3 linked regions of the Astyanax mexicanus genome follow. The protein of the gene in region 1 interacts with the protein of each later gene in a pairwise test. Links are inferred from orthologs where the notes say so. Each region holds a gene or a part of one and is shown in the gene's direction. Other genes may lie near its edges.

Evidence for each region.
Region 2: the proteins of rplp1 (region 1) and nudt3b interact in a two-hybrid assay, tested with the Homo sapiens proteins (2 studies listed by BioGRID and IntAct). The link is inferred for Astyanax mexicanus from reciprocal best matches to the Homo sapiens genes RPLP1 and NUDT3.
Region 3: the proteins of rplp1 (region 1) and nudt21 interact in a two-hybrid assay, tested with the Homo sapiens proteins (2 studies listed by BioGRID and IntAct). The link is inferred for Astyanax mexicanus from reciprocal best matches to the Homo sapiens genes RPLP1 and NUDT21.

What each region holds. Positions count from the first base shown.
Region 1 is NC_064410.1:2,544,138-2,551,593, reverse strand, and holds the start of rplp1 (60S acidic ribosomal protein P1), read left to right. Parts: upstream 1-3,555; 5' UTR 3,556-3,710; coding exon 3,711-3,782; intron 3,783-5,129; coding exon 5,130-5,204; intron 5,205-6,718; coding exon 6,719-6,833; intron 6,834-7,456. Other genes in the region: clptm1l (cleft lip and palate transmembrane protein 1-like protein), read left to right, coding at 74-118, 223-338, 933-1,017. UniProt on the Homo sapiens protein: Plays an important role in the elongation step of protein synthesis.
Region 2 is NC_064412.1:5,169,184-5,176,639, forward strand, and holds the start of nudt3b (diphosphoinositol polyphosphate phosphohydrolase 1), read left to right. Parts: upstream 1-2,613; 5' UTR 2,614-2,817; coding exon 2,818-2,916; intron 2,917-4,960; coding exon 4,961-5,071; intron 5,072-7,456. UniProt on the Homo sapiens protein: Cleaves a beta-phosphate from the diphosphate groups in PP-InsP5 (diphosphoinositol pentakisphosphate) and [PP]2-InsP4 (bisdiphosphoinositol tetrakisphosphate), suggesting that it may play a role in signal transduction.
Region 3 is NC_064416.1:26,201,019-26,208,474, forward strand, and holds the start of nudt21 (cleavage and polyadenylation specificity factor subunit 5), read left to right. Parts: upstream 1-1,966; 5' UTR 1,967-2,122; coding exon 2,123-2,241; intron 2,242-3,207; coding exon 3,208-3,408; intron 3,409-5,987; coding exon 5,988-6,051; intron 6,052-6,581; coding exon 6,582-6,671; intron 6,672-6,799; coding exon 6,800-6,875; intron 6,876-6,968; coding exon 6,969-7,083; intron 7,084-7,456. UniProt on the Homo sapiens protein: Component of the cleavage factor Im (CFIm) complex that functions as an activator of the pre-mRNA 3'-end cleavage and polyadenylation processing required for the maturation of pre-mRNA into functional mRNAs.

The sequences.
Region 1 (7,456 bases):
AATGTTCATATAATGAAAAATCTATATATTTTTAGTAAAAATACTGTAATATAATATTTTTTCTTTCCAACAGTTAAAATCAGTGGCTCATTTACCCTGGAAGGCCTTTATGTATAAAGTAAGTGTCATGGATATTAAATATTATGGATGGTGGGTCTTTCTTAGCACTGCAGTGATGCTGAAATCATGGTATAATTTTTGTGAAATCATTTTTGTATTCAGGCGTTCAACACCTTCATCGACGACGTCTTCGCCTTCATTATCACTATGCCAACCTCCCATCGGCTCGCCTGCTTCAGGGATGATGCTGTGTTCCTCATTTACCTGTATCAGAGATGGTAAGGAGTGTTTATTACCGGTAAATTAACAGAACAGATGGCTAAAATAGTAGCCATTGGGCGGCTGACTGTTAAATGTTGTCATGGTTTTAATCAGTCAGTGGTGCACCTGTATTTCCTGCCACCAGGATAAAACATGCCAGAAATTTTTTTTTTGTTTCTTAATACACAAAAAAACTAGGGATCAACATACCTACAACATAACATATTTTAGGACATATAAATATTTAAATATGAAATGAAAGGCTGAAAAAATAAAATAAGAAAAAAATTAGTTCAGTTCACTTTTTACTATCGAGAGTGTGAATTATATAACACGGCTCGGATCTATGTAAAGCAATAAATCTATACAATGAATGAAACACAAGATATTTTAATAAGGTTATAAAACTATGTTTTAATGTTTTTCAAAATTTCGATATTTCAATCTATATCATAGCAAGAAAAGAAAAAGCTCCCCCCAAAGAAAACTAAAATATAGAAGATCTTTATGTTTCTTAACTCCCTTTTTTATAATAATGAAGCAATTTAGGTGAAACCCATTTATTTTATTAACTGTTTAACTGTGTTATTTCAACTCTGTTACTCTTGCAGGCTCTATCCTGTTGATAAGACCAGAGTGAACGAGTATGGCGTGTCTTATGACGAGGACCTAAAAGGAAAAGCCCACAAGGATTAAACTCCTTACAGCTCAGAGTTTTCTAAGTCAGCCTGCTAAACATCAACACCAGAGAGGACGGAGAGGACGGAGAGGACAGTACACAGTGCATTATGGTCTGCGCATACTGGGAACACTGGGTGATCTGCAGACTGGACTGGGGATTTTCATCTGTGGAGTGATCGACTGTGACCAACATCTGTCTCTTCCACCTTTTACACTCTTACATTTCCTGTCCTGAGTCTGACAAACTGATTTCATTGTCCTTAATTGGAGATGAAACATTGCATTGTTTTATTTTTCAGTACTGTATGAGCTGCTGGGCTGACAGGTTGCTAATACGATTGGGTTCAGTTTGATGTAGGTTGGAATTTTGCTGATTGTTAATCACGGTTGTGCGTCTGAGGCACAAGTGAGTGAGTTATCAATGATTTGATCAATGATCTGTTGTTCCTCATCAGAAAATCATGAGGAAAATAAGCTCATTTGAAGACAGAAGTATTTTCGACAGGTACTCTTTGATTATATCTTTATGAAAATAGTGTTTTTGGAAATATGACTTTTATCATACTGGTGCCAAATGAACTGATGTTGTAATTTCTCATAGTTAGTCATATTAAAGAGGGGGAGACCGAAAGTTAAAATAATGGTTAAACTGAGAAAGATGGACTGAAAGAGGAAAAAGCACAGGTCTGACGAGTCTGTTGATGTGTATTTGGGGTGAGAATGGCTTGTTGTGTGTGAGTTTGTTGTACTATATTCCACTGAAGTGTTTAACGGGACTCAAATGGTGATTTGTTTGTGAAGTCCAAGCTTCGATTCACGCGATAAATATTTTTATTTTCTGCTTAAAACTGCAACTTTTAGTGCTTTTTGAAGTTTTCCAGAAATTGTAAGTCACTAACTGGGTCCACAATACTAAAAAATGTAATAAATGGTGGTGACCAAAGGGACTGTGATTTGGACTGTGTACCATTCTTAATGTGAAAATTATTTCCAACAATTCTGGTACTTAGATTTCTGCTGTTGTGAGAATCAGAGCTCATTTCTGGACCAGAGGGAGGGGAAGATATTATAATATTATGCTTTATGTTTATGTTTTTGATTCCTTTACTAATGTGGCCTATTGGGACCATCTGCTGAACACCTTCTGCTGTATGGCCTGTGTTTGGAGCCGTGCTTTTTCAGCTACTTTAAAAAAAATACCCACAAATAAATAAAAGCCTCCAAAACTCCTGTACAGTGTTTCTGGTCTTTTGTTTCATTTTTCAAATTATATTTAGTGTATTACTAGTTAGTAACAACTAACTCATGCATAGAGTTGATGATTTTCACTAATAATAATTACAGGATTAACAGCATGCATTTTTCTATTGGATAATATATAGGATAACATATAGTATATAGCATTTGTCCTGCTTGAAGCTCCAAACTAGTCATATATTATTTTCATTAGCTTACACCTGTTCAGGGGTATGTGTAAATATTTAGTAGGTACTAGCTCCTATGTATATACAAGTTTATTTGGTGCAACCTATTTTAAAAGTATGGAAGCTCATTCCGGCCACCTAAAATAAAAAATACATATGTTTTATTCTTATTATCAAGTAAACTGCTACCTCTTTATTCTGACATAATTTTTGTCTCACCTGCTTCTTTCTTTGTACAGTCTACTAGTATCTTAAAATAATAAAACAGTATCTCAAAATAACGACTTAGTTTAGAGTTTCTCAAAATAATGAGATAGTATCTTAAAATAATTACTTAATATCTCAAAATAATGGTATCTAAGAATAATGATTTGGTATCTTAAAATACTCATTTACTGTCTCAAAATAATTAAATAGTATCTCCAAATAATGATTTATTATCTTAAAAAATGATTTACTATCGCAAACTAATGACTTACTATCTCAAAATAATGACTTAATATCTCAAAATAATGATAGTATCTCAACATAATAAAATAGTATCTCAAAATAATGACTTACTATCTCAAAATAATGACTTACTATCTCAAAATAATGAAATAGTATCTCAAAATACCGATGTACTATCTTAGAATAATGACTTACTATCTCAAAGTAATGACTAAATATCTCAAAGTAATTACTTAATATCTCAAATTAATTATAGTATCTCGAAGTAATGAAATAGTATCTCAAAATAACGACTTACTTTTTCAAAATAAAGACTTACTATCTTATAATAATGACTTACTACATCAAAATAATGAAATAGTATCTAAAAACAATTACTATCTCAAAATAAGGATTTACTACCTCAATAATGACTTACTATCTCAAAATAATGAGATAGTATCTCAAAATAACTACTATCTCAAAATAATGAAATAGTATCTCAAAATAATGATTTACTACCTCAATATAATGGCTTACTATCTCAAAATAATGAGTTAGTATCTCAAAATAATGAAATAGTATCTAAACTAAACGGGCTGAGGGAACTGCGGGCTTATTTTAATGACAAGAGCGATGGCCAATAGGAAGTAGTCCCGCCCCCTGAAGTGACGCAGTAGCGGATATAAGCGTAAGCCCCGCCCCTGCGCTCTCCCTTTCCGCTCCGTGTGTGAGGACGATTGAACGTGCCTAAGGTGCTCGGTTCTTCTAACGAAGCTAAGGCCCTAGAATCCGGCGACTAGCACCGCTAATATTAGGCATCCAGGTCCAAAACTGTAACCTACTGAAAGAACAATGGCCTCTGTCTCCGAGCTCGCCTGTATTTACTCCGCTCTCATCCTCCACGACGATGATGTGACCGTTACGGTAGGTCCTGTCCCCCCGCTGCGGCCCCGGCCGCCGCCATTACTACCATTACCACAGTACACACTGCTACACTACTGACTGGCGGGAGCGGGAAAGAGATTTTTAGATTTACTGTGTAATTAGTTAATCTATAACATATTAAAGCTCTTTACTGTTAAACTCCACAGCTCAGGTTAACTCTCATACTCTGATAATAATAACAGGGGTAATATAGGGTCTGTTTACTGAGCCACACTGTAGCCGGTGTTCTGTCAAGTTGTGCTACTCGTCAAACTGTGCTTCTCTTGTGACTTATATATTTAGCTTTACAAACGCTCAAAAAGCACAAAAATCGAGCATATTCTCAGTGGAAGTCTATATAGTATTTTTTTTGGAGAGCATAAATCAATTGGTCTTCAACGTTATGACAGTGAGTGGTCATTTAAAACTAGTGTTTAAAAAAAAAAGTTGTTTATTATTTTTAATAATTTTAATTTGCAGTTTTGTGCAGCGAGGGCGAGTAACGTTAACTTACATGTTGAATAACAAACACACAAAAAATAAAAAATAAACAAGAGAATTTTAACTGTAGGTCAACGCATGCGCAGTGCTTTTAGGAAGCACGTTTTCGGTGAGTGTTACAACTTGACGGAACACCTGGTGGTACTAGCTAAGTGCAAACTGGCTAATAAAACTAAAATTCCACATTAAAAAAAAAATACAACCTGGTAGCTCTCTCTTGAAATCAGGGGTGATTCCACTTTTTTGCTGTTCTCGTTTTTCTTGAAATATCGAAGACTTATCTGTCTGTCATTTTATATATGTAGTGCATTAGTATCATGACATGTTTGTTCATTCACAATTTTTATTACAATCTGGTGAAAATCTCAACTAGTGGAGTGCCATATAAGATTTTTTTTTTTAGTAATGTTGCCAAATATGGTTTAATATTTATTTTTGTTGCAGTAGTGTATTTTTAAGTTCCTTACAGCGTACTGTCAGTTTAATTCATGTTTCTAAGTGACACACAAGTAACATACTGAACATCCTAAAGTGCCTGAGAGCATCACTACAGGACAGTGTGTAAACGATTCTGTTCACACATCTCAATCCTATTTATACAGAATGTAGGCTTGCTTTAGGATTAGTACTGGAGATGAAACTAAATTGGCTCTTTTAAGAGTGTTTTCTGCTTTTACAGATCTTTTAATCTATTTAAAGGCTTTACTGCATATAACTATTTCTGGCCTGATTTATATTGTTTTTGCATTGTTTACGTTACATCAGGATTTTAATCTTCATTTATTTATTTCAATTTATGATGTAGCCTCATGTGGATTTAACACACTAAATGTTATTTTTTTTTAGGAGGACAAGCTGAACGCCCTGATCAAGGCTGCTGGAGTGACCATTGAGCCTTTCTGGCCCGGTCTGTTCGCCAAGGTAAGAGTCCTTTACCAGCTTAATATAAAAAAGCATGCTTTTAGTGTAACTGTTGAAGATCACATCTGAAAGGGATGGATGTTAAGTTAAAGTGTAAGTAAACCCCCAATTTTAGCTGACTCCAGTCTGCTCAAATAAAAAAAATGGAGGGGTTATTTTGTTTGGGAGGGGCATTGGGTGATGTATGGGTTTAGGGGCTGATTGGGCTGAACAGTGTGTCTCAGACAGCTGTTAGACGTAAGCAGAGGGGCGGTATTATTGATTGATTGATTAATCTGCATATTTCCTCGCTTCAGAGGTGGAGCCTAGATGTGTTTGGTCTTTGAATTTGATGTAGCAAACCTACAAAAGATGCTCATAATAAAGACATGGTGGTAATTCTTGTAAAGCTACAGGAAGGCTTCATTAAGATTTAGATGTGTAAATCTGGTATTACAGGTAAAAATGGCTTTAAACAGATGCTGTTGTAGCTTTTCTGTCAGTACATTAAAATTGGCAATCTAATATTATACAAGCAAATGTCAATGTTAAATGCAGGATTTACATTTAAAATGTTTGTTACTGCATTAAGAACATTAAATAAGGCCTTGAATAAGTTTAACTGTTAAATTATTGCTTATAGTCAAATATCTTGTCAACATTTACTAACATTTCATTTGTGTATGTAGGGTTTTTTTTGTAGGTTGATGGTTTGTTCAAAAAATTCTATCAAAAATAGACCTTAGATAAATTTATATATTTACTTGAACTACATTTTAAACATTTTGAGCATCTCTATATATTCAGTATTCAGCTCTGGTAAAAAGAAATTACCACTTAGAAATAAGTTTTTGATTTTACCAAATTAAAAACCTCTGGAATATAATCAAGAGGAAGATGGATGATCACAAACCATCAAACCACCAAACTGAACTGCTTGAATTTTTGCACCAGGAGTAAAGCAGCATAAAGTTATCCTAAAGCAGTGTGTAAGACTGGTGGAGGAGAACATGATGCCAAGATGCATTAAAATAAAAACTGTGATTAAAAAACAACCAGGGTTATTCCACCAAATATTGATTTCTGAACTCTTAAAACTTGCATTATTATCTTTATTTGAGCCTTTTCTCATTTTCTGCAAATAAAATCTTTAAATGATTGAATTTTTATTTGGAATTTGGGAGAAATGTTGTCTGTAGTTTATAGAATAAAACAACAATGTTCATTTTACTCAAACATAAACCTATAAATAGCTAAATCAGATTGTCTTTCCAGAGCTGTATATTAAAGCACAGAAATGTAAAAATCAACAATAAAAGTGGTGGATAAAGTACTGTACACTTATCCCCCTCACCCACCTCTTAGTCTTTAGTTTAATGTAATACTATAAGAATACGTGGGGTGTTCTGGTGCACTAAAGTTAGAACAGTGCTCAGTCCTAAAGCTCTTGTGTCGAGTTTTATATTAGTGATTAATGGATGGTTTATAAGTGCTTATAGACGCTCAGGTCAGTGACGTGGTTTTTCTGTGTTCAGGCTCTGGGCAGCGTGGACATCGGCAGCCTGATCTGCAGCGTGGGGGCTGGTGGTGGAGCCCCTGCTCCCGCTGGTGCTGGTGGAGCTGCTCCTGCTGCTGGAGGAGAAGCACCAGGTAACACACTTTACATTTAAAGAGCTATTAATTAATGCACACAACGGGTGACGCACAAACGACTTATCTTTACAGTTATCACTTTAATATACAAGTAATATATGGGATTGTTAGTCCAGTTAATACTTTAATAGAATATTAAAGTATTAACTGGAATAAAGCTCACTTTAACCCTTTCAGATCTTGCAACCAGTACAATGGACATCACTGTTTTAAAAATGTTTTGTTGCGCACAATAAAAATTGAATAGGACATGAACGGGCCAATGGGAAAGTCAATTAAAGGCAATTAAACAGTAGCTTAGCCCCGCCTACTGCACAGGAGAGAAACAAATACAATTGGGATATTATGGCATAGCAGCAATAGGAGGATTTTATTTTTACTAATTGTATGTGATTTTAGAATGTTTTAATTTTTTTTGGTTTTTTTTTGTTTAGTAAAAAGGTATGTCAATATAAAAAAATAAAAATGTTAAACACAGGCCTCCAGTGCATTAATTAAAACTGATTTAGTTAAAAAAAAAAAAAACAGCATTATTATATTTTTCTATATAGTATATTAAGTGTCTTGTTTTTTTTTTTTATTATTGTGCATTAGGCAGAAAACAGTTTGATTTTTCTATA
Region 2 (7,456 bases), on another chromosome or scaffold:
TACACTCCAAACCGAGGGCTATGAGAATCACTGGCAAGTTGGTATGGCACAAGCGACAAAGAAACTCACTAATTTGAGCATTTCCCTTGATTACAATATTACTGCTAAGATTACCACAAGAAAATTACGATAACCCCTATATTTCCATAGTTTAATGTGTAGTTTCAATGTTTTGAGGCCTTTTTCTTCATAACATGCATTAAAAATTCACCATGAGTTTGTCTCAGTAGCCACTAGTAGACGTAGTATCTTAAAATAATGTAATATCTTAAACTTAATGTCAGTATCTTACAGTTTTTCTCAATTGGTTTGGCTCATTTCTTGAAACTGAGATGACATTTTTAAAATAACATGGACAAATCCCCAAACTAACTTGCAGTTCCTCACAACAGAATGGCATTTCTCATTGCTTTCATCACATTTCAAATGCTTTGTACATGTCTCAAGCACTTAGTACATCTTTACAAATGGTTATGTACAAGTAGCCTACACTTAACACAATACTCCTACATTTAGTACATTTTCCAAAATAATGCATCTTGTTGGTCTATCCCAATTGGTTGGTTCTCAGTGTAATGGTTGTTCTCTCCAAAACATGCCAGCACAATTTCATCGTATAAGTCATCATCTGCAGAATAGTCTGCTCAATTATCAAAATGAGTTACGAAATTGTAATACAATACAGAACACATATTTTGGAACATTTCATAAATTCATGACAATCAGGTGAGTAGGTAACAGGTGAAAGCAGGTTATGACGAGGAGGAGTGTCCCACATTACAGGTGACCAATCCATCAGTTTGTTACCTGACAGGTGTTGTCTATGATTTTGAATGCTGGCATTGCTGTATATATACAGCTTGGCCTGGTGCTAGTTCTTTGATGCTAGTCCTGTGATGATATAAGGATCCTGTGGCGATCAGTGTAGAGGATGGCTCAGGCATTCACGGCGCTTCTTCCCACAGTGCATTGCTAAAGAACACATCAGAGGCGATGTTGATGAGAATTTATGGCCAAACAGACTGCAGCGGATGGATGGCCAGGAAGATGACCAGGAGAGAGAGGGGAGTGACACGGAGTAGTCAGAATGTTACTGTATTGCATTTGTTTGACTGTTTTTTTACATACTGTATTTTTGTTTTGTTTTTGCAGGTTTTTGTATTTTGTATACATAGTATATTTGATACATTTTCCTTTGTATTTTTTTTTCTTTCCTACCTACAGTCATGTGTAAAGATGTACTTGTAAATAGAAATAGTTACAATTTCCTCAGTAGAATGAGTGCAGTGTGTGTGGTGTGAACATTGTATTCCTTTAGCTAGACCTCTGCCATAAAGACAAAACATCTAAGCATTTTGACTTGCAGTACTTACACAATACCAAAGGGACAATGCATTTTGGGGGCACTGATGGTTTGTGTGAGAAAGGAAATTAGTTTTGACACATGGGTAAACTGTTTTTGGAGTGATATGAGCATGTGATGAGGATCCATGTAGTTGTGCTGCACCGTCCGGTATATTTTGACAGGAGGATGAAATGAATGAAAATGTGCCAAAGCAATTGAGAAGGATCTATGCCATTTTTATGGTACTGACTTTTTATATGGGAGAGGGACTTCATTTTGAAGCAAGAATGAACGTTTTGGGAGACATATGACATTTTGCTGGTTATCTGAAGTGTTGCGCAGAATTGTAAGTCTGTTTGGCCAATTTACCTTATAGTTATAGGAATGTCATCTCAGTTTCAAGAAATGAGCCAAACCAATTGAGAAAAACTGTAAAATGATGTAGTATCTCGAATATAGTTACTTAGTATCTTAAAATAGCGACTTAGAATCTCAAAATAACACAGTATTTCAAAATAATGATATAGTGACTTGAAATAACGACTTAATATCTCTAAATGACAACTAAGTGTCTCACAATAATGACATAGTATCTTAAAATAATGACATCGTTTTTAAAAATATTCACCTAGTATCCTAAAGTAACAACTTAGTATCTAAAATGAAAGACCTGGGATCTTAAAACAATGATAAAGGATCTTAATAAAATTGACCTAGTATCTACACTACTAGGTCGTTATTTCAAAATAACGACCTAGTATCTTAAAATAACGACTTATTTCTAATAATAATATCATAGCATTTTAAAATAATGATTTAGAAACTCAAAACAACGACTTAATATCTCTAAATGTCTCGGCATCTTAAATAATAAAGTTTAATGTTGTTTAAATGTTGATTTTTTTATTTTTTATTTTTTAACCTTAAAATGCGCAATGCAATCAAAATAGTCATAATTATAACGTTTAATCAATGTTCTTTGCTGTCAGGGATAGTGTCTGAAAGTAATGAGGTAAGTTAGCATCAATTGAGATTTAACAAATTACTTACATTTATTTAATAAAAAAATATTATTTTATGTTTTATTTTATAGTATGTTTAATGTTAAGTGGCGGGAATGTGCTTTTACAGGCCTGTGTTGGTGGAGGTGGGATATAACAGTATTGCAGTGAACTGTATTATGAGAGGCTCCCGCAGACGCGCTACTTAGGCTCGATTTTGCGATTCTGCAATGGCGGCTACGCGCGTTTCCCGGCGAGGCCCCGGCCACAAAGCCTCACGCTGCGCTGTTGGCGTAGCGGTTTCAGTAATGGCGTCTGTGGCTGAGATGCGCTTGGCGTTGGGAAAATGAAGCGCAGGAGAACTTATTTCTGTTATTAAGAACGCGGGGTTTCCTTCGGCGAACTTTGCGTGGGAAAGCTGTGGAATCTCCTGGAGGTCCGAGCTGCGATATTAGTCCCTGTCGTACCGAGATGATGAAGCTCAAGTCCAACCAGACCCGCACGTACGACGGAGACGGCTATAAGAAAAGGGCCGCCTGCCTGTGCTTCAGGAGCGAGTCCGAGGAGGAGGTGAGGCCGGGGATGCGGAGCGGAGTTCGGGGAGCGAGTAGGCCGCAATTGAGACTAGAAAATATAAAATGTGCTTTAATTAATGTGAGATTAATAAATCCAGGCCGCGGTTTAGTTGTAGATAAACGAGGCGAATTACAGAAGAAGGAGAGTCGGGTGCAGAGATTGAGAACAGCTACCTGTGTATAGCTAATAGACTAAAGCTAACGATAGCTAGCTAGGCTAGTTAGCTTATCTTAGCTTATTTTAGCTTAGCTGGTGCGGTTTGTCAATGAAGCGCTGCTGAGCCGAGCCAAGCTGAGCCGCCGTCTGTTCGGTTACCCGGGCGGGTAGCGCGGGCTGGGGAACCGCTAAAAAACTTTAACCCTGTTTATACATTTAAAGAGGCTCCGTATATATTTTTAAGACAGACTTCGTGCAGGAGATCTGAAAATATAACTACATAGCTAGCCAGTTTTGCTGACACCAGTTGTGTGCGGCGGTTGCGCAAAAACAAAAAGCAGCGCTAGTTGAGTAGCTAGCGGTTAGCTAACTACCTAGCTGGCTAGCTCGTTGGCCACCAATCTGTATGAGCTAGGTTAGCTAACATAGGCTAGTTAGCTATCTGGCGGTATACATGTATACACAGCTCTGGGGGAAATGAAAAAGAAACCACCTGAAAATTATGAATTTCTTTGATTTTACCAAATTTAAAACCTCTGCAATATAACCAAGAGGAAGTTAGAGAATTTTTTGCACCAGGAGTAGAGGCATAAAGTTATCCAAAAGCAGTGTGTAAGACTAGTGGAGGAGAACATGCCAAGATGCATAAAAACTGTGATTAAAAAACAGGGTTATTCCACCAAATATTGATTTCTGATCTCTGAAAACTTTATAAATATGAACTTGTTTTCTTTGCGTTATTGGAGGTCTGAAAGCTCTGCATCTTTTTTGTTATTTCAGCCATTTCTAATTTTCTGCAAATAATTTCTCTAAATGGCAATATTTTTATTTGGAATTTGGGAGAAATGTTGAGAAAAGTTATAGAATAAGACAACAATGTTCATTTTACTGAAACGTGTATATATATATATAAAAAGCAAAATCAGAAAATTTGATTCAGAAGACTTGATACAGAACTCACTTTGTTAGTTATGTATAGGTAGTGAGGTAGTTTAATGGATAGTTGGCTGTATGTTACTGAGAGTATAGAGCTTAATCTCAAGGTTAGCTTGCATATTGCCTATCTGTCTGTCTAAAACTCTAGCTGGCCTTTTAGTGAACTGTTTAGCTAGCTAGAATAATACCAGCAATACTTTATTCTTTTATGAAACTGCACTTTTTTTAAAATCTCAGTTTCAAACACTATAAAAAAAAGATAGCCTACACCATTTACAGAGGGGCATCAACCCAACAGTAGGCTAATTATGACATAAAATCAAAATATGTAGAAGATGGAAACATTCAACAGACAGATAGAACAGATATATCAGCTCAACAGTAGTATTACTTAGAACAGATACAACATCTACAGAGGGGCATTAACCATAGAAAATAGAAACATTAGACAGACAGATAGAACATATTTACAGAGGGTCATCAATCCATCAGTAGTATTACATAGAAGATAGAAACATTCAACACACAGAAATAATGTGTGTATCTACAGAGGCGCATCAACCCATCAGTAGTGTTACGTAGAAAATAGAAACATTTAACACAAAGACAGAACAGATACAATGTATACGAAGGAGACACAGCCCAACAGTAGTATAAAAATAGAAGATAGAAAAAATTAACACACAGACAGAACAGATAATCTTTAACATCTACAGAGGGTCATCAACCCAACAGTAGTATTACGTGTATTTTTAGATATTAGCAAGTTAAGCCATAGGCAGAAATTATCTGAGTCTTGAGATTAGATTTAAATATGGAAGGAGAGAGGGATTATGTAAGTCACATGCTTTATAGCTATGTCTATTATATGTAGCTATATAGTTATTCTAAACCAGTGAAGCTATAAGACGTGTTGTATCAGATGTGCTGCTTTGTGTTGATTCAGGTGCTGCTGGTGAGCAGCAGTCGACATCCAGACAAGTGGATCGTACCAGGAGGGGGAATGGAGCCAGAAGAAGAGCCCAATGTTGCTGCTGTCCGAGAAGTTTGTGAAGAGGTCAGACCAGTTAATCTATATGACTTGATGCCGTTATTGCACTCATTATTAATTCACTATAAATAACAAATCATCTCTGAACTTTGAACATTGCATAATGACACAGGTTTGTTTATGTAGTGTTTGTTACAAAAGACCTACTCATAGAGCAGCTTCACAGAGATCCATGTTCGAGCCCCAGGTCAAAAGGATAATAGCAGCAGCAAAAAAAAAAAAAAAAAAACTCAGATCAGGAGATCTGAAGGAATAGTTCTCGAGGGGAACCAAGAGATCATTTTCTCGTCCAAAAAACAGCCAGATGCATACATCTAATATCTAACATTTTTAACTACTAAATCTATACACTAGAAGTTAGAATTTTCTTCAGGGGAGCTGAAGATTGGATCTGTGATTTGTGTTAATCTGAGTGAGTAAAACAGATTTACAGTAGTGATTAGTTGTGTTATGGCTGGCCCACACTACAGGATATTCAAGCTGATTTCAAGGCTGATTTGGTCTTTCAGGTTGATCGTCAACTATCGTAATCTTTCCAGATTATCCTGTAGTGTGTGGAGTAGGCTCAGACAGAAGATCTGTTTAGCTTGGTTGTAATGTTTTACTGTGTAAAATATATAAGGTCATACGCATGTCTTACAGTTTGATGTGAATGGGAATTAAAATACATTCATTATGCGTTTAACTCAATAATCACCCTCTCTATGTCAGTCAAAACCCTGCGCTTCGAGCTCTGTGCTACCGAATAGTGCAACTCGTTGTTATATTCCTGTAGCTCAGGCTAACCCTGATCTTCAGCTCATAGATTCTTGTGATGGGCAGTGATACGCATCACTCATGTGGAGAGGGAGATCACGTTACAGTGGAGTGTTAAAGGGCGTTAAACTCAGATTAAGCACTGCTCATTACTCTACACCCTGGCTGTGCTCCAGTTAGGCAGATATCCAGCAGCAACACCAGGCTAAGCCTCTTTAGGCCTCTCAAAATGTAGACTTTTGCTCTTTCAATGCTCAGTACGTTAACGTAATGTGCTGAAATTAAGTTGGTTGGTCCTGCATCTTATCAGTCTTATCGGTGTTTACACCAATGTTCCATTGACCTGTTCATTTGTCCAAACTACCCATGATTGCCCTTTGGTTAATCACAATAGCTTTCTAATTATAAATCGTGGTGGAAAATGGGAAGTGAGTGAGAGGCTATGCGGAAAATACTGTATGTAATGTTAGTGTTCATTGTGGTAAGCGTCTGAGATAGATTGTCACATTTGATGACATTTAACTTTGACAGTCTGGTCCATACAGTTCTATGTTTTATTTAGCTTTTGTTTGGTTTCGGTTTGTCTTATAATGAGAAAATTAGTAATTCTTAACCTATTTAGATTTTATAAGTATTGAACTTTGGTTGAGTTCATACCTCCTGTGTTTGGTCCGGACATTGGGACTTTTCAGTTTGGGTTTGAATCAAAGTAGCAGGTGTAAAAGGGGGTGTCAACCATGGTCTGGACCAAAGCACCAGAGTTTGTTCCGGTGTTCTCAGTCTGGATCTACTGAACCATGGTCTGGTTTGGCTGCACTTTTCTAGATGTTTTGGACTTTCAGACCAAGTTGAGACATCAGCTGCCAGAGCCCTGGGAGAGCACAACTGGCCTTGCTCTCTCTGGGTGGGTACAGTAGATGGTGCTCTTTCCCCTCATCACTGCTAGGGTGATGTTGATCAGCACAAGGCGTCTGTGAGCTGATGTATCAGAACCGAGTCGTTGCACTTTCCTCCGAGCGTTAGCACTGTGATGCTACTCGGCAATGCAACATCAGTAGCAGTTCGTAAAGAGGCGGAGTCTGACTTCACATGTGTCGAAGGGGCATGTGCTAGTCTTCACTCTCCTTGTGTTGTGGCATCACCAGTAATGGGGGATATACAGCTGAGTAGCAGGTAAATGGGTGGGACAATTGGCTTAATTAAATTGGGAAAAAATTGATGACAGGATGTAGTAAAAAAGTTATTTAGTCCATTCAGTCATTAAAATGTAGTGTAAAACCAAAACTAACCAGACCAAATGTACAAAACAAAGTGTAACAAATACCCAAACAATGTGGTCCAAACTTTCATGTGTGATAGATATACTATATACTTAATACTATTAATTGAAATACATAGTAAGGATAAATATATTTTATTAAATTGCAATAACGTAACCCTCCTAGGACCTAATGTTCCCAGAAGTCACTGATCAAATATCATCAAGGATTCTACTAAGGGGTTAACAATATGTACACTGTACTCGGGCTGCAACTAATGATTATTTTGGTAGACGACTAATCTGATGATAATTTTTTCGATTAGTTGATAAGTCAACAATTATTTCTGCCATCTTCACCATCTCTAAAATCAACA
Region 3 (7,456 bases), on another chromosome or scaffold:
GCATGTCAGATATATTTTCTGTTTGATCTGAAGCTTGTAACAAACATTTCATGTCCCCAAATGTACCAGTTGTCCTGTAACTCTTTTAAACAAGAGCCCTGATATAAGAACTTCTGTCATTGTTATACATTTCAGACTACTGGGCAGAGGCATTAAGTGCTACTCTTAAAGTCCTGACCAATTGTAGGGCTTGCCTTGGAAATTTCACAGAAAAAATAAATGGAGAGATTATTTGCAGAACTCTGTGTGGCCCATAATTATGATTCTTATTACTTTAGCACATTAGGCCATATTTAGTTCTTAAGAAGAAATATCTTTGCAAAAATCACCATATAAAAATCGCATATTCACCAGTGTTTTATTATTTGGGATTTACTCGGTTTACGAGGACAAATGGTCTATTATTTATACAATCTATTCTACAGTTTTATTTGTAATTAAATAGTAATTAAATGTGTTATATATTTTATTTAGAAAAAAACTGCTTAGGGTAGCTGTAATAGTTGTAGTAAATAAAATAATGACTATACAAATACTTCTGTTTCTTCCTTTTCTTCTTCTTCTTCTTCTTCTTCTTCTTCTTCTTCTTATTATTATTATTATTATTATTAATATTATTACTATGCAGTCTTAATTGTTGTTGTTGAAATTGTTGTGTAGCTTAAAAAAAGTATTTATATCTGTTTTGTTATATTTAAATACAATTTACTAACAATTTAATGAGCCTAAAATATTTAATAGTGTAATTCATAAATAGAATTTTAACCTGCTTGTGTTTTGAACTGATGGAAAAAAAAAACATTTTAAAATAACAAAATATTTCCAGATTTAAAAATCAGACGCATAAATTCCATTAAAATGATTCAAATCCATCTGGTGGATGTTTTATCATATTTTGTGAATTACAACATTAAATATTCCACCTTTATTATTACAAAATTCTGATTTAATACTTTAACCTTTTTTTAACCTATTCAGACCCTGTGTCCATTACAATGGACATCATATATTATATTATATATATGTTTTGTTGGACGTACCATCAATTCAGACATGTTGTCTTTGAAAAGACCATGAATCAGCTAATTAAAATATTAGCCCCACCCACTGTACTGGGTAAAAAACACCAACGCAGACATTAAGTCATGGCAGCACTAAAGCCAACGAGTTAATGTAAGGGCTGATTTTGACCAATTTTATGTGAGTTAAAACACTTTTTCATTATGTTTATTGTACTGTAAAAATAAATTAAAGAGTTATTTGTTAGTTAATTTAATTTAAATTGTATAGTCTTGTTTTGTGTGCATTACAGAGAGAAAACAGTATTCTTATATTTTTCTATCACTGCAACATAGTTCAGATCTGAAAGGGTTAAGCTCCATGAATTTTTTATGACCCGTATATGGAAAAAAATAAGAGACCCATTAAAAATTATGAGTCTGTTTGATTTTACCAAATTAAAAAACACTGGAATATAATTAAGAGGAAGATGGATGATCACAAGTCAGACCAAGCTGAACTGCTTGAATTTTTGCACCAGGATTGGCATAAAGTTATCCGAAAGCAGTGTGAAAGACTGGTAAAGGAGAATATGCCAAGATGCATGAAACTGTAATCAAAAAACCAGGGTTATTCCACTAAATGTTGATTTCTAAAACTTTATGAATATGAACTTGTTTTCTTTGCATCATTTAAAGTCTGAAAGCTCTGCATCTTTTTTGTTATTTCAGCCATTTTTCATTTTCTGCAAATACATGCTCTAAACAACATTTATATTTGGGATTTGAAAGAAATGTTGTCTGTAGTTTATAGAATAAATCAACAATGTTAATTTTACTGAAACATATACCTATAAATAGCAAAATGAGACAAACTGATTCAGGAACTGAAGTGGTCTCTTAATTTTTCCAGAGTTGTAGATTTTAAGGGTCTTTTATTTTGCGCTGATGGACTTTTATTCTATCTTCGGCGGGTCGGAGGGCGGGCGGTGTTGCTGTGGTGTTTGCAGGGCTGGTTAGTGAGTGCGGCGGGCGGCCTGGTTCTGAGCTGGGTTTGATTTTTTCTTTTTTAATAGTTAAAGCGGTTGAGCGGGTTTTATACGTGCGCAGTTTTGCACGGAATTATGTCCGTTGTTCCTCCGAATCGCTCGTCCACCGGTTGGCCGCGCGGAGTGAATCAGTTCGGAAACAAATACATCAGTCCCCCGGCGAAACCGCTCACCCTGGAGAGAACCATCAACCTGTGAGCACCTTCATTTATACACACAGTTATATTATACAACGCAGCTCAGTCTGTAGATCAGTGCGGGAACAGCGGGGTGTGGAGGTTATTAATCAGTGTGTTTTCTGGTTGTGTAGTTGTAAAAGCTGCTCTAACAGTAGCTAAGCTAACCTAGCTCGCGTTAGCATAGAAGATAGCTAGCTAGCTAGCAACAGAGGCTACTTGGTTAGCTGTTGTTGTGTGATCTGTAGGGCTGGGCTGTGTCTTACACAGTACAACTAAATTACAGCTCTGCAAAAAGTTAAGAAACCACTATAGTTTCTTAATCAGCTTCTCTGATTTTGCTATTTATAGGTGTATGTTTGAGTAAAATCAACATTGTTGTTTTATTTTATAAACTATGAACATTTCTTCCAAATTCCCTCCTAAATATTGTCATTTAAAATATTGACATACAAATAAACACAATATGCAATATCATGATTATCAGATATAAGTGTAGGAATGTCTGTCTATTGTGTCATATTGGCCATATTGGCTGCTATAACGGCCGATATAATTTCAATATACTGGTCTACCATTAACAGCAGTGTTCTGTCTTAAAAGCAGGCTGTTATTTGCTGGGAAGTTTAAAATGTTAAGTGATATAGTTAAGATATTTTTTTTATTCACATTTTATTATTTTCTACAAAATCAGTCTTAGTAAGTTACTGTAGTTTAAAAATAGACAAATGTTGTACATATTTTTTAAACTGGTTAGATTATATTAACTAGATAAACGTTATCAATGATTAAGTTGCAGTATATCTTAAAGAAATTAATTAAAATATATATATATTTTTTTTTTTGCCAAACCACCAAGATTATCATTATCAAAGAAACCCCCTGAAATATTATTATATTATATTTGGGCCAGTCGCCTACCCTTAGCATTTAGTACTGTACTAATGTAAGTTTTTTTCACACAGTTGTCTCTGTTTTCTGCAGCTATCCTTTGACGAACTACACGTTCGGCACGAAGGAGCCACTATATGAGAAGGACAGTTCAGTGGCCGCCCGCTTCCAGCGGATGCGGGAGGAGTTTGAGAAGATTGGAATGCGGCGGACGGTGGAGGGGGTCCTGATAGTGCACGAGCACAGACTGCCCCATGTCTTACTGCTGCAGCTGGGAACCACCTTCTTCAAACTGTAACTATTTTAACTAACTGTTCCTATTCAGTCTTAGTAAAGCTAGTTTATATCCAGAATAAAAGACTAAAATGCTCATCTACATAAAGCCCCAATTTATAGAACTGCAGCAGCATAATATCACATTTCTAAAGTGGAACTTAAAGCTATTTTGTGATGATAAGCAGCTCTATGATCATCATAAGGGGTCTAGGCACCAAAGGTGGTACAAACATAATGCTTGGTACCTAGGTGGCCCAAACTGCACAAGTCTGCCTAACAATTACATGTTCTATCAGAAATTGGACTGCTTTTTATTATATAATTTTTTATAAAAATTACAGCATATACCGTATTTTTCGGACTATAAGGCGCACCGTATTATAAGGCGCACGATGAGTGAACGGTCTATTTTTAGTGTTAGTCCATACACAAGGCGCACTGGATTATAAGGCGCACTAAATGAAACTTTATTTATATCAGTAACAATAACTCTGAGCAATAAATCCTTCACAATATCTGTGAAAAATAACAACATCTCTGAGCAATAAATCAACAAGCACAGCAAGTACGTATTACTCCGCGACGCTCCTGACAACGGTAGCCGCAACGCTCCGACAGACCATAATATTATGTTGAAGCACAGCAAGTACGTATTACTCCGCGACACTCCTGACAACGGTAGCCGCAACGCTCCGACAGACCATAATATTATGTTGAAGCACAGCAAGTACGTATTACTCCGCGAGGCTCCTGACAACGGTAGCCGCAACGCTCCGACAGACCATAATATTATGTTGAAGCACAGCAAGTACGTATTACTCCGCGACGCTCCTGACAACGGTAGCCGCAACGCTCCGACAGACCATAATATTATGTTGAAGCACAGCAAGTACCGCATTACTCCGCGAGGCTTCTGACAACGGTAGCCGCAACGCTCCGACAGACCATAATATTATGTTGAAGCACAGCAAGTACGTATTACTCCGCGAGGCTCCTGACAACGGTAGCCGCAACGCTCCGACAGACCATAATATTATGTTGAAGCACAGCAAGTACCGCATTACTCCGCGAGGCTTCTGACAACGGTAGCCGCAACGCTCCGACAGACCATAATATTATGTTGAAGCACAGCAAGTACGTATTACTCCGCGAGGCTCCTGACAACGGTAGCCGCAACGCTCCGACAGACCATAATATTATGTTGAAGCACAGCAAGTACCGCATTACTCCGCGAGGCTTCTGACAACGGTAGCCGCAACGCTCCGACAGACCATAATATTATGTTGAAGCACAGCAAGTACGTATTACTCCGCGAGGCTCCTGACAACGGTAGCCGCAACGCTCCGACAGACCATAATATTATGTTGAAGCACAGCAAGTACCGCATTACTCCGCGAGGCTTCTGACTATAATAGCGTGTTGTGCCGAATTCGGTGAATAAAACGGTTTTAAAACAGAGATAAAGATTGGATAAGTTTCATTTCTGGATGAAGTGATTTCCAGCGCTGTTTGGATATAACTGTGGATTACAGGAGACTGGATTGATGGATTCTCTTTAGTCTGGACGCGTTTTGAAGGTAGGACCTGTGGCTGAGCGCGGGTGTGTGTTCGGGGGGTGGCGGCAGTGACCGGAGGTTACCCCAGGACAAAAGGAGAGCCTTTTATTACTGGAAACATGCGCTCTGACGCAGCTCTAATTCATGAAACATACATCCTACAGTAAAAGCACAGTTCTGGAATCCGGAGAGCCAGACGGTTCGAATGGTGTATGACATGACCGCATTCGATGAAATATGGACGAACGATAAACGCAAATATGAGAGTTATGAATTATTAAAATCATAACCAAGGCATATTTCGCCCTAAATGTTTATTTTCTGAAAGGATATTCCGCTAAATAGGCTAAATAGCTCAAAAGCAGAGATTCTAAGCTTTAAAATGGTATATTGGATGTCTATATTGAACCTGTAACTGTTCATAACTATTCAGAAACACAGCCAGTTATGAAATATTAAATATTTCTGGCCCGCCGGTGGGCCAGCGCGTGTTAAGAGGTTAACTTTACTTAGAAGTGAGCGCTAAAAAGAAACAGTTTGTGCTATTACCCCAGAACGGGTGGAAAGGAAAGTTTACCGGCACCTTGTTCTGGCCACGGAGCTACAGTGGAAACTAGCTACCCTGAACCACAGCCGAGAGGCAGTACGGCAGTCAAAGGTAACCGCGCGCTAGCCCAAGAGGGGGATCTTTTTCTGGCGTGGGTGAGGAATTCTGCACAACAGAGCGCCGTGTACCACATAAAAATCGAGGTCAGTAAACACAAGCAAAATCCATACACAAGGCGCACTGCATTATAAGGCGCAATGACGATTTTTGGGAAAAAATAAGTATTTTAAGTGCGCCTTATAGCCCGAAAAATACAGTACATTTGGCCTGATTGCTCTAAAGGTGGGAGGACCCCGTAAATCAAACCTTGTGACTATATTATAATCATCTACCTGATCAACAGTTTTCTCATATAGTATTTAAAAGCTTTTTTAATTAAAATTTAATTTAAAGAGACATATTCTATCTTTATTGTTATTTCTGTCTGTTTTCAGTCCTGGTGGAGAATTAAATCCTGGAGAAGATGAGGTGGAGGGCCTAAAGCGTCTGATGACAGAGGTAAATTTTGTTTGTGCTGTAGCTGATTATTCTGATTTCTCTCTGGAATAAATGTGGTATTAATTGATGTTTTGATTGTGTTCTTAGTGTGTTTATAGTGAATTTATTCTTGTAGTTGCCTTAATCCAGAACAAGCTAGAAAAAAACATGGTTACATTTTAGTTCTGGTTTGCTTTGTTTTTTTATACCAAAAAGTTGCAATTGAACCAAGATCATGATCTACACAGTATGTAGTGATATTAAACCTCAAACCTTGCTTAATAAATGACATTGACTTGATATCAGTATTAAACCACATTTTTAATAATGCACACAAGTAAATTTTTATGATATTGACACAGGGTGATGTATGTAATGGCTGTAAAAGTGACTGTTACTGCGGCTGCAATCCTTTACTTTGTTGATGTATTTTTTTCTCTAAAAGAAGCCATTGTATTTGTTTATTTAAGCGTAATGTTACATTAGCTGTTTATTTAAAGTACTCTACCGAGATGAGCAGCTTTATTGACGAGTACTTGTTCTTTGGACAGATTTTGGGGCGTCAGGATGGCGTGAAGCAGGACTGGGTGATCGATGACTGCATTGGAAACTGGTGGCGACCCAATTTTGAACCGCCTCAGGTTAGTCAATACACTAACATACACAATCATACAGGAAAATGTGAGATTAAGGAAGTACAGTATTATATTACAGTTTATATTTAAAGGAAAAAAATGATCATTGTTTTCATACATTTGTGTTTCTTCAGTATCCCTACATTCCAGCACACATCACCAAACCCAAGGAACATAAGAAACTTTTCTTGGTACAGCTACAGGAGAAAGGTAAGACCTCTTACAGAGATGTTGTTCTCTATAAACTGATACCTGTGTATTGAGTGTTCCTCTTATAATTGATGCACATTTTATTGTCTCCAGCGTTGTTTGCTGTGCCGAAGAACTACAAGTTAGTGGCTGCTCCTTTGTTTGAGCTTTATGACAATGCTCCTGGGTATGGACCCATCATATCCAGCCTCCCTCAACTACTGAGCAGGTAAGAGATATGGTCTAGAGATCTGAGAACTGTGCACAGTCAGTGTATTATGCTGAGTGGGAATGTGTTTTCTGGTAACTCTAAGGAAATGCATGGAGAAGCAGTTCAGAAGTGTTATACGTGGTTTAGGCTTGGAGTATCACCTGTCTGTCGTGTGCCTGAAGCACCATGAATTCTCCAGATAATGAACTGCTCTATGTAAACACACGAGCTCATTTTGGACATTATTTGGATTTGTACTTTGGGACTAGCATGATAAAGTCCAGGTAATGTTCATTGCAACCAGGGTATTCTACTAGTCCTTAAAAAGTCTTAAAATGTCTTAAATTTAGTTTTACATATTCAAGGTCTAAAACTGTTTTAAAATGTCTGG